Linked DNA regions of Tribolium castaneum. The protein of the gene in region 1 binds, or shares a complex with, the protein of each later gene. Links are inferred from orthologs where the notes say so. Each region holds a gene or a part of one and is shown in the gene's direction. Other genes may lie near its edges.

What was found.
Region 2: B9 domain-containing protein 1 (region 1) and transmembrane protein 17 share a complex: the UniProt entries of both Homo sapiens proteins name them as parts of the tectonic-like complex. The link is inferred for Tribolium castaneum from reciprocal best matches to the Homo sapiens genes B9D1 and TMEM17.
Region 3: B9 domain-containing protein 1 (region 1) and Mks1 share a complex: the UniProt entries of both Homo sapiens proteins name them as parts of the tectonic-like complex. The link is inferred for Tribolium castaneum from reciprocal best matches to the Homo sapiens genes B9D1 and MKS1.

The regions. Positions count from the first base shown.
Region 1 is NC_087399.1:9,020,746-9,023,448, reverse strand, and holds B9 domain-containing protein 1, read left to right. Parts: upstream 1-1,312; 5' UTR 1,313-1,468; coding exon 1,469-1,706; intron 1,707-1,752; coding exon 1,753-1,962; intron 1,963-2,012; coding exon 2,013-2,113; 3' UTR 2,114-2,155; downstream 2,156-2,703. UniProt on the Homo sapiens protein: Component of the tectonic-like complex, a complex localized at the transition zone of primary cilia and acting as a barrier that prevents diffusion of transmembrane proteins between the cilia and plasma membranes.
Region 2 is NC_087395.1:14,181,848-14,184,738, forward strand, and holds transmembrane protein 17, read left to right. Parts: upstream 1-1,406; 5' UTR 1,407-1,458; coding exon 1,459-1,540; intron 1,541-1,584; coding exon 1,585-1,688; intron 1,689-1,738; coding exon 1,739-1,852; intron 1,853-1,963; coding exon 1,964-2,236; 3' UTR 2,237-2,243; downstream 2,244-2,891. Other genes in the region: ankyrin repeat domain-containing protein 27, read right to left, coding at 29-179, 239-368, 416-581, 635-829, 1,014-1,036; glycolipid transfer protein, read right to left, coding at 2,302-2,484, 2,535-2,685, 2,730-2,848. UniProt on the Homo sapiens protein: Transmembrane component of the tectonic-like complex, a complex localized at the transition zone of primary cilia and acting as a barrier that prevents diffusion of transmembrane proteins between the cilia and plasma membranes.
Region 3 is NC_087401.1:10,812,927-10,817,309, forward strand, and holds Mks1 (tectonic-like complex member MKS1), read left to right. Parts: upstream 1-1,532; 5' UTR 1,533-1,595; coding exon 1,596-1,672; intron 1,673-1,716; coding exon 1,717-2,094; intron 2,095-2,142; coding exon 2,143-2,368; intron 2,369-2,416; coding exon 2,417-2,950; intron 2,951-3,545; coding exon 3,546-3,782; 3' UTR 3,783-3,825; downstream 3,826-4,383. Other genes in the region: rhomboid-related protein 2, read right to left, coding at 203-731, 779-1,251, 1,297-1,365. UniProt on the Homo sapiens protein: Component of the tectonic-like complex, a complex localized at the transition zone of primary cilia and acting as a barrier that prevents diffusion of transmembrane proteins between the cilia and plasma membranes.

The DNA.
Region 1 (2,703 bases):
TCCAAACTGAAAAACAAACCACTCTTCATGGTTAAAAAACACATTTACTTAAAATAATTTTTGAAAAAACGTGACAAAATAAAATATTTTAATGATAGAAGTCACAGCTAGAGGGCGTGTTGAGTTGTTGTCAGTGGTTGTGGTTTTTGAGGCGGGTGCGTCGATTGTGGCTGCAGTGACATTTTCCCGCACATGATACCAACCAAATGGGAACAAAACTTATTCTGAAAGCACACTAAATTTGCTCATGCGTTCCGTGTCAGGATAGTCGGTTTAGTGATACTGCCATTTCGGTGGTGCTAAGTACAATGTCACAATAAGTCAGTTTAATGTTAGAACAAATTTACGTAATTAAAAATATTTTACATATTAATGTGAAACTTATGTAATGGTAAAATAGCTGTCTAAATTTAGATTTTTCTAGGGATAATAATTTTTACCAAAACAGCTTCGATTGTACACAGTTTTTATAATCAAACAGCTGTTTTTACAAGCCGGACGTGAGGTGATGGGTGGCTTTGAGGCACTCGTCGCTTCGTTCGTGTTTCAATTTTTTGTACATTATTATTATATTCATCGTATTGATAAAGGAATAACTGCCAAAGATTCATGATTTGATGCTTGGAATAAGACTGGAAGTTCGAATGCATGTCTCATTTAATATTTCATGTAACTTTACGATAAATGTCAATGTATCTTTATCAAAAAACTTATTTTTAAGTTACGGTTTTTCACGTACATCGACACAGGCCTTGCCTTCTTTCGACTTCTCTTCTAAGTTACGCTTCATTATTTTGTACATTACCGCATCCACATGTAAAAATTGTACCGCATTATTTATTTTTACTGTCTAGAATTATTTTACGTTATGAACTGTATCTATAGTGAAGTTATGTAAGTAAATATCCATTTTCAGAACTTGTGTTTTATTTTACATTAAAAATCCCACCAGATGGCGCTTAAAACTTACTTATTACATTCAAATACCTCCCTGCGTCCCTGATACTTTTGATAATTTTGACTATTTTTGGTAAAATTTGGAAAGTATTAGGAGTGGTATTAGGATCACAGGAACACGAAGAGGTGTCCGGCTTTAAGAGGTATAAAATTTTGCTAAAATTTGGAGTTGTCAGGTGTTTCAAACATTCCGAGTTAAAAATTCTGGCAAATTTTGAAATTTCTCTTGGTACCAGGATCACAGAAACGCAAAAAGTAATTCAAATTTTATACTACAAAAATTCCACCTGATGGCGCTCCAAACCTTACAGGTTTCTGTAATTTTGTGGTTCGAAATTTCTAAAGACCTCTTTGCGTTCCTGTTATCCTGGTCCTAGTAATATTTTCAAAATTTAGCATTTATTTACTGCTTCGAGTTAGAAAACATTTGCCAAAACCCAATTTTCCATTTTCTTTGATGATATAGATGACATAAGTTACCATAGCAACCACAATACAAACAGCCCCCACGATGTCCGACGGCACCTTTCTGGTGTCTTTAACGGGCCAGATTGAGTCTGTCGACATTTTAGCCCCCTCGGGCTCCGCGTGGCACTGCAAGTACGAGTTTGTGACAGGCCCGGACTGGAAAATAATCGGGGGGCTCGAGGCCGGCGTGTCCCAAACCTCCAACGTTGTCGTGAACGGAGCTTTAGTAGTGTTCAACCTTCCGATTGAGATTAATTTCAAATCGACGAATCTTTACGGATGTGAGTTCGAAATTTTGCATTTTGAGGCGTTCAATTGTGGTTGCAGGGCCCCAAATTGTGGTTAGTGTGTACCGGGGGGTGCAGCTGGAGGGGTACGGGCGGGCGCACATGCCGCTGAGGCCGGGGATGCACCGGGTGGACGTGGCTTTGGGGAAGCCCCAAGCCAGCTCGTTGTTGGGGTACATGGGGGCGTTTTTCGGGTACCAGCCCGAGTTGTTGCAACCGAAAATGTTGGCAACTACTGCCGGAAATCACTGTATGTTTGTCACAACACGCAAAGATTTCTAGTTCTAGTTTTGGTTTCAGTAATTCAGATGTTGAGTCATGGAGAAGTGAGGATTTCGGTGAATGTCGTAATGCAAGGTGTGAGGAGTCTTGGATATGATTTCGGGAGAGGAAAAGACTAATTTTTGTAACGATTTGGGTCAATAAATATTTTTTTACGCACAGCTTACTTGATTAATGAAGGAATGGTTTATAATTTAATTTAATATAAATATTCGGTTTCAATTGGTTTTCTGTCATCAAGCGATCAAATTAATTTATAATCGAGTTATCCATGAACTTGAATTCCTATGTCATGCGATTGTAATGCTTACATAAGGTGACCAACTATAGAACACCAAAAATATAATTATGTTTTTCAAAAAGTTGGCCGAGATACTAAGTTTATTTTTTATATTAATAAACAGCAAAACAAAAGAAAAAAAATTACAATTCAAATAAACTAAAACGACATTAAGTCAACAAAAGAATGCTTCAATATTTTTTTTATTAACATTATTATTGTATCCAACGTCGCATGTATATTTTTCTATTCTTTATCTACCTTTCTCTTTCACTTGTCTTTTTTAACCTTTATTTCCTTCTTCCTTTTGTTTTTTTACTGATTTAATCAATTTTCTACCTCCTGTCTTGTATAGTCTGCTATTTTTTAATTATATCAGTTTTCTGTACCTCTTTTTCAGTTTAGCTTGTCCTTTCTCTCTTTTATATT
Region 2 (2,891 bases), on another chromosome or scaffold:
GTTCATAAAAAAGACGCCTAACACTTACAAAATTTCTCGATTTTCTTCTATCTTTAAATAAAAAGTTTTAATATAAAATAAATTGCTCAACATGTAGCGTAATTTCGACCTAAGAATTACCACCATAAGCACAGGCATTATGTCCTTGTTGTCAATAATGGGAATTTCAATTTCCTTATCTGTAATTATTAACAATTAAAAAAACCTAGTACATACAATAAATCAAGATGCAACTTACCTGACCTTTCTGAAATTACTGAAACCATCGCTGTCTTTATTTCCGCAAATACTAAATCGTACGTACTGCACAAACAGTTCATTTTCTCGTTGGGACTTTTATATTTGTCTATAACCGACAATTCCACAACCTAAAAAAAACATTACACGCATCAGTTAAAAAAATATTTTCAATTACGGCAGCACATAACGGGATACTATAATTATCATCAGCGCCAAATTCCCTTGCCGAGACGTTAATTTTGCACAAAAATGAGCACCGTTCGAAGAAATTTTCATCTTCTCGGAACAAATTCGCTTTAATGCATGGCACGACCAAATCGTGGATTTTATCAAAAATAATCCTTGAAATCACCAATGAAAGAACAAGTACAACAAATTGCCTATAAATTATTACCACTGGAAGGCCGCAAAGTTCCTGGGATTGTTTTGTTCCGGGAATATTTCTGTGTATAATTTGTAAACCAAGTCAGTTATTTTTGGTACCAGATCTGGATAATCCCCATGGTTGGGTAAATCCCACGAAACTATTTCTTCATCAATGTAGTCAAAAATGTTTTCGTGTGTTGATTTCACAAGCAGTTCTTCAGCTCTAAAATTATTTTAGCAATAAGTTTTCAGTCCAGTGACTCAACAATGACCATGCTATTTTTTATTTGTGATAATATAAAACTTTGTTTAAATTGTAAACTAGTAGCTAATAAATGAAACAATTCAAAAAAGATTAAAGGTAATAAATACGAAAGGTAAGTGGTGCTAAAATTAAAAATACTCACTGTTTTAAGTCTCGTATTTCCATATTTATTATTTCTGGTAGCTTGTATCACATTGTTTTAGGTATGTGTACTCAACAATAATGAACGACCTTCGTTGCTTACGTAATAACATTTTATCTGATAACTTTTCGGATAACCACTTGTTATTGTTTGAAGATTTTCCTCCGATACATATCTGTGATCATTTTTTTGTTAGCTTAAAACTTATGAGAATAACATCAATCGGACAGAAAGAATAAAGTTAAAAAAAATGCAAAAATAAACACCTGCAGTGGTCAATACCAGCAAATGTGGGGGATTTGATTACGGTTTCCAAGCAACTCAACCCCAAGTTAATACAAACAAAACCAGATTATCAATTTCAGGACATAAATGTCCAACAATCTGTTAACAATCAGAACATTAAAAATAATCTTGACCTTGTTGTTTGCTCAAAATATTCATTATGGATTGGAAGGAAACTGTGACGTCAGTGTCTGATAAAGTGTTTCCAGGCCTTTCGCGTAAAATCGATAATGTTGTTTATGGTAAAAACATGCCTGGTTAATTACGATTCCTTAAGGCTTTTTAGGTAACGAAGTTATGTCAAATTTGCCGCTGCAGATGTCGCTCTATTTCAACGTGATTTTCGCGCCATTTTGGATGGCCATTCTTGTGCTTTATTTAAGGAATACAGTAAGACTAACTACGAAAAACTACTAAATGACTCGAAATACCAATTCCAGTATCTCTGCTTTAGCGAACTGTACAAGTTTATTATCATAACGGTCATTTCGACAGTTTTCCTTTTGGAAATGTTAAGACTCTATTTAGGGTACAAGGGAAATCTTGAGGATAAAGTAAGTTAATGATAATAATTGAGTCGGCAGATGCAACCAATATTACACATGTGCACAGTTTGTTGAATATCACGGCCACTTTGCGGACGATTTAAATAAATAAGATTGTAGATTCCTGAACTGGCGGGCTTTTGGATGTTGTCCTTACTGCTCCAGTTTCCTCTACAAGGTCTTCTGTTATTCAATCCTAACTTCAAATTGCATGTTATAGAAATAATAGTGCAAAGTATCATGTTCGTGATGTTATGCATTCAGTTGGTGTCAAGCTATTGTGCTTTGAAATTTACGGCAGCGCAACAAGCAATTTACTTTCGCATTATGAAATTAAGATCAGATGTGACGCTTGCAGATGTACAAGAACGCTACCGAGTGAATAAAAAATGAATCTATACCAAACGTTTTATTTACAACTGGAAGATCAACAAATATAAAATTTCTAAGTACAACAACTAGACCCTATCATTCGTCTCGAGATCATGCTCTTGGTAGAAATCCACCAGCTTCTGAACACATGAGGACATCCTGAGCGTGAACTGTCTCATATCACGCAAAACGTGGTCCTCCTTGTGGTGCTTCTCGAGCGCGAGTTGGTAGAAAAGCTGTTGCCGGTTTGGGGTAAACCGTGACAAAATCTACAACTTGTTGGGATAAGCCACAATTTTTGAAAAAATGACGAAAGTACATTAAACAACTGAGACCCCAACCAGCCGTGGTACCGCTCCAGAGTCTCCTTGTACGCGTTTTTCACAAATATGGACAAATCCTGCGTGTTATTATTATTGTCGGAGTCATCGATCACAGACTGGAAGAAGCGCGAAATGAAATGAAGGGCTCTGAAACGATTTATGCATAAGTCTCCCAAAAAGGGGCTTTTTACCGCCGCAGCCACTGCAAAGCGTCCACAACAAGCAGTTGGCCCACATTTTTTTGTTTAAGTATCATGTCCTCTAGAAACTCGTAATTTTCCCGGTCTTCCTCATACTTGACTGTGATTTTCTGAAACAGAAAGTGCGGTTATGTGAGCTCTTATTACTTGGTA
Region 3 (4,383 bases), on another chromosome or scaffold:
GTCCGTCCAGATGAGTTGGGGGCTCGCGCAATGCTCAAATAAAACACTTTCTGATTATGCGCCGACATAACCCCACTTTTACAAAATCAAAAATAATACTAAAATCAACCTCTAGTCATACAATACTGCAAAAACTGGTCACTTTGTACCTAATCTGTGCTTAAAAATAATAATTGTTACACTTTTGTGTCATTTCCTAACCTCAAATCCGTTCCCGACTTTTCAAAAAATACTCAGGCCAGGCAAAATTCCAAATGATTGCGATTGCCATCAGGAGACAATACGTGACGATAGAGAGCCACCAAATGACCCGTTCGACCGTTGTCACTTCTAGGTTTCTTAGGACGTTGAGCCCCACCAAGAGCCCGGCAATAGCCCCCGCAAAGTGGGCCATGTACCCGATATGTTCGTCCATTTCGAGGAAATACCGATTGTAAATGGCGGTCCCAATGTCGGAGGCCATAATGATCAAAAAAATAAATAACTGGACGATGGGGAACGACATTTCCCTCCAATTCATTATAATGGTGGCTATATGTGCCGTGATGAGGGAGTAGACCCCACCGCTGGCCCCCGCAAGTCTCACGGTGGGGTCGGCGATTGAGGTAGCAAGCGACCCGGCGAGGACCCCCGCGAAATAAATGAGGAGCACTCGCCACCACCGGTGCACCATTTCTAGCGGAGTCCCCAGTAGAATTTGCACCAAAAGATTGACAAACAAATGGAAGGCTCTGCAATTAATTGGGTGGCTAACGTCGGTCAATTGTTGATTAATTACCCAACGTGCACAAACATGTAAGTGATGAACCGCCAAGCCTCCTGTCTCTTGTAGGGGTCGTAGATGAAGACGGAACTGATGGGGCCCGAGGCCGATTTGGTCGAATCCGCCTCGATTGCCTCATCCACACAGAAAAAAATGACCTCGATTAGCGAAATAATGATCATGCCCACGGCCGGGGGGTAGCAGGAGTACTGGTCGTCGTAGGCCCCGTCCACCTCGCTGGCGCCCCGTCGGCGGGGCACCACCATCTGGATGTACCTGTTGACATAGTGCCCGAAAACGTACTGGAGGTCCGGGTGGTTTATCATGTCCACGAATTCGGTGAAATCGATTCGGTCGTCGTGGTTCTGATCGGCCATTTGGTGGATTTTCCGCACGACGTGCTCGGGGATGTCGTGGTCATATTCCCGGCTCTCGATCAGGTCATTCAGCTCCCCGATGTTGATAAAACCGTCATGGTCCCGGTCGTACTGAAAGCGCAGTTTGGGTGATTGCTACTAAACTGGGGGGCTCACTTTGTCGAAAATGCTGCGGTAGTAGGCGTTTTTGCGGCTGGCTTGGAGCGGCGTCTCCGAGTTGGCCATGGCCACATAACCTCAATTGGCGCACACACACAATCACTGTTTACGTTACTAACACTCGTGTTACTACATGTTATCACTTATTATTATTATCACTTTTGTTTTGTTAATTATCATTACACGGTTATGTTTTGGTAACTTTGGGCCCAACTGGGGGAATTCCGCGCCTGGCAGGTTTGAAAAATGGCGCGCGGCTAACGTCATTGTTGTGATTCACGTGTAAAACACTTAAAATGAGTCAGGAGGAGACTTTGGTCAAATACACGGCAATTTACAGGTGCTCGGATGACATCACCAACTTGAAAATAAGGTAAGTAAAGACACTACGTACACAATTAAAGTTCAAGGTTCAAGAGTGAAGTTGCGCCAAGTGGGGGATTTAACTGGCGAGGATTCGGACGGTTGGGAGCAGAAAGACTTCGCCTGGCAACAGAAATGCTTCAGCAAGTCAGAAAGGGAGTACTACAAGGACGAAAAAAACTGTATCACAGATCTGGAGAAAAAGTACCATTCGGACGTCGGGGAATCACACACTGAGGCGCATTTTGACCTGTTTTCGTACACCAATGACGACGATTTTGCCCTCAAACAGGAAGTTAATGACAATTTCCGCGAAAATTGCGACGAAAATGGCCAGGGGTACGACTACGGCCAGTCACTTGTGGCAGCAGTGCGAAATCCCATTGGTCATAATTACGAGTTTGAGGTCATGTACATCATGGCGGACCTCGGGTAATTCCCCCGAAACGTCCGAGTGACTATAAAGCGATTTGTTCGTAGCGAATACATCGATTCGACTTGGCTCAAGCAGGAACAAGTCCTGTGTGTCGTTAAATACGACCGGAAGTACAAAATATTATCAATTAACCCCGACTTTACCAAATCCCAGCCGTATTTAATCCGACTTGAAGGCGCCACAATTCGCAAATATCACTATTTCCTTGAGAACGTTTCGGCCCAAATGCCTGAGGAAGCCCACCGTCGCGAAAAAGAATTAATCCGAAAAGTGTGTGTTGTATTATCCCCGAATTTATCTTATTTAAAGAATTTGCAGATAAATGGCCACAAAACCGAGCTTTTGAAATGTTTGAGTTTCAAACTTCCCGCCAAAAACAAACTGGCCGTTCATTTGTTCATGGAACTCGCGTGGGCGCAATATTTCGAGTATGGACCAATCTACGTCCAGTATTTCATCGACTTGCCGTCGGATTGGTCCCCGACTGACCAATCGCAACTGCAGGGCGTGACGCAAACGTGTCACGTGACTGGCGATGAGGGTTTGGCCCATTTCGGGCACGTTTTCGACGTTACGTTAGAGTACAATATCGAGGATTTGGGCAAAAGGGGAATCCCCAAGTGCCCTTATATCTACTTTGAGGTTATTTCGAAGGACACTTGGAGTCGGTATAGGACTGAAGGGCTGACTTATAAGGCCTTGCCCGTTGCCAAGCCGGGGAATTACCGGTTTAACCTACAATGTTTCCGGTTAATCCCCGACCGGATTTCCGGTCAGTTACGCCGGTTTTTTATTGGCGATTGTTCAAGCTATGGTGACTTGACTTGGGTGGGATTACCGAAACATTACGATGTGAGTTGACTAAATGAAAGGTTACTAAGGCTTAAAGCGGGCTTAAGCCGACACCGAGTGTTGCTCATTTAGGTTAGGTTTAACTAAACCTCGGCTTATTGCTAATATTTTTAATAAATTATTATTGTAGATAACATTATAATTTTGTTGAAATTGGTCAATTTTGTTCAATAGTATAAACTAACACTAGAAAGCAAAAAGTTACTTGCTTGCATTGGATGAAAAAAAAAACAGCAAAAAAAGTATAATGATAATAATTCACTTATTCTTATTCCATCAATATATTTTATCAGTATTTTTTTTATTGTAGGACAAATTTTTAAACATGAAATAAATAAATGCCGCATTTTATTGATACATTTTTAAACATAAGATTTTTATTATAACGATATTATTGCTACAATGTACCGAAATATTGATAAATGGTGACATTAATGAATCTTAACCTAACTTTTTAAAATCAGAACTGTCATAAGTGCGCAAGCGTGCAGTACTACCAACCGCAAAGTTAAGTTCAGCGCGGCTTAGCTGAGCAACACTGCAGTTTAAGCTCAGCTTAAAATGGCGAGCTTATCTAAGGAAATTTTTTTTCCAGGGGTCTGTTTTAAATAAATATGGGACTAACACGGTTGGTACCGGTCTGATCAGCGTGACCGTTCACGTCGTCCATCAAAGCCAGGCGTTTCTGGACAAATACAGAGAAAATTCCGAGGAAAATTTGGAAATTTTCGAAAAATTGAACTCGTCAAGTTTGGTCAAAAGCGTGGAGCAAGTGCTCCAAGCGTTCAAAAGGGCCCGAAAAAACATGATTGCGGCCCGGAAATTTTTATAATTGTTGTTTTATTTTGAGAATCAATAAACGTGGCAACGCCGCACTAGGTATAAACCAAAATCGATATATCTGGGCGAGGGACGATCGGACCGGTTCGGGTCACATCGGGCGACTTCGGGCTGTCTTTATCCATGTTTTAGCCCCAAGTTTGGGCTTTGGCCCCATGGTGTGCCTGGAACTGGCTTCCAGTTCACCCCTCTGTCTTTTGGGATGCTCTGGGGGGCTCAAGTGCCGCTCGAGTCTTAGCGAGGTCCCCGTGGCACGGCCGCCCTGTTGCCACGCGTCCCCCGTTCATGAACCTGTCTCAAATTGTAACACAGTCGCCTATTTTGCAAGTCATTGACACGTCGCTCCTTCGGGGGTGCCATCGATAAAATCCATTCCTGTAATTTCTCTCGTCACGTGACTAATAATTTCAATTTTTAAACAATTCGTCTATTTGTGACCGGATCGATAAGGCGGCCATGGCAACTCTTTTTTCTTTTTGGTAGTTTTTGCAATTGTGTTGGTACTTCCCCAAGTCGGGATTGGGGCCAGGCGTACCAACGTGTACATTGTTGTTATTTTGGGCGAAAAACGAGTCAATTTAAGCCGTAATTTT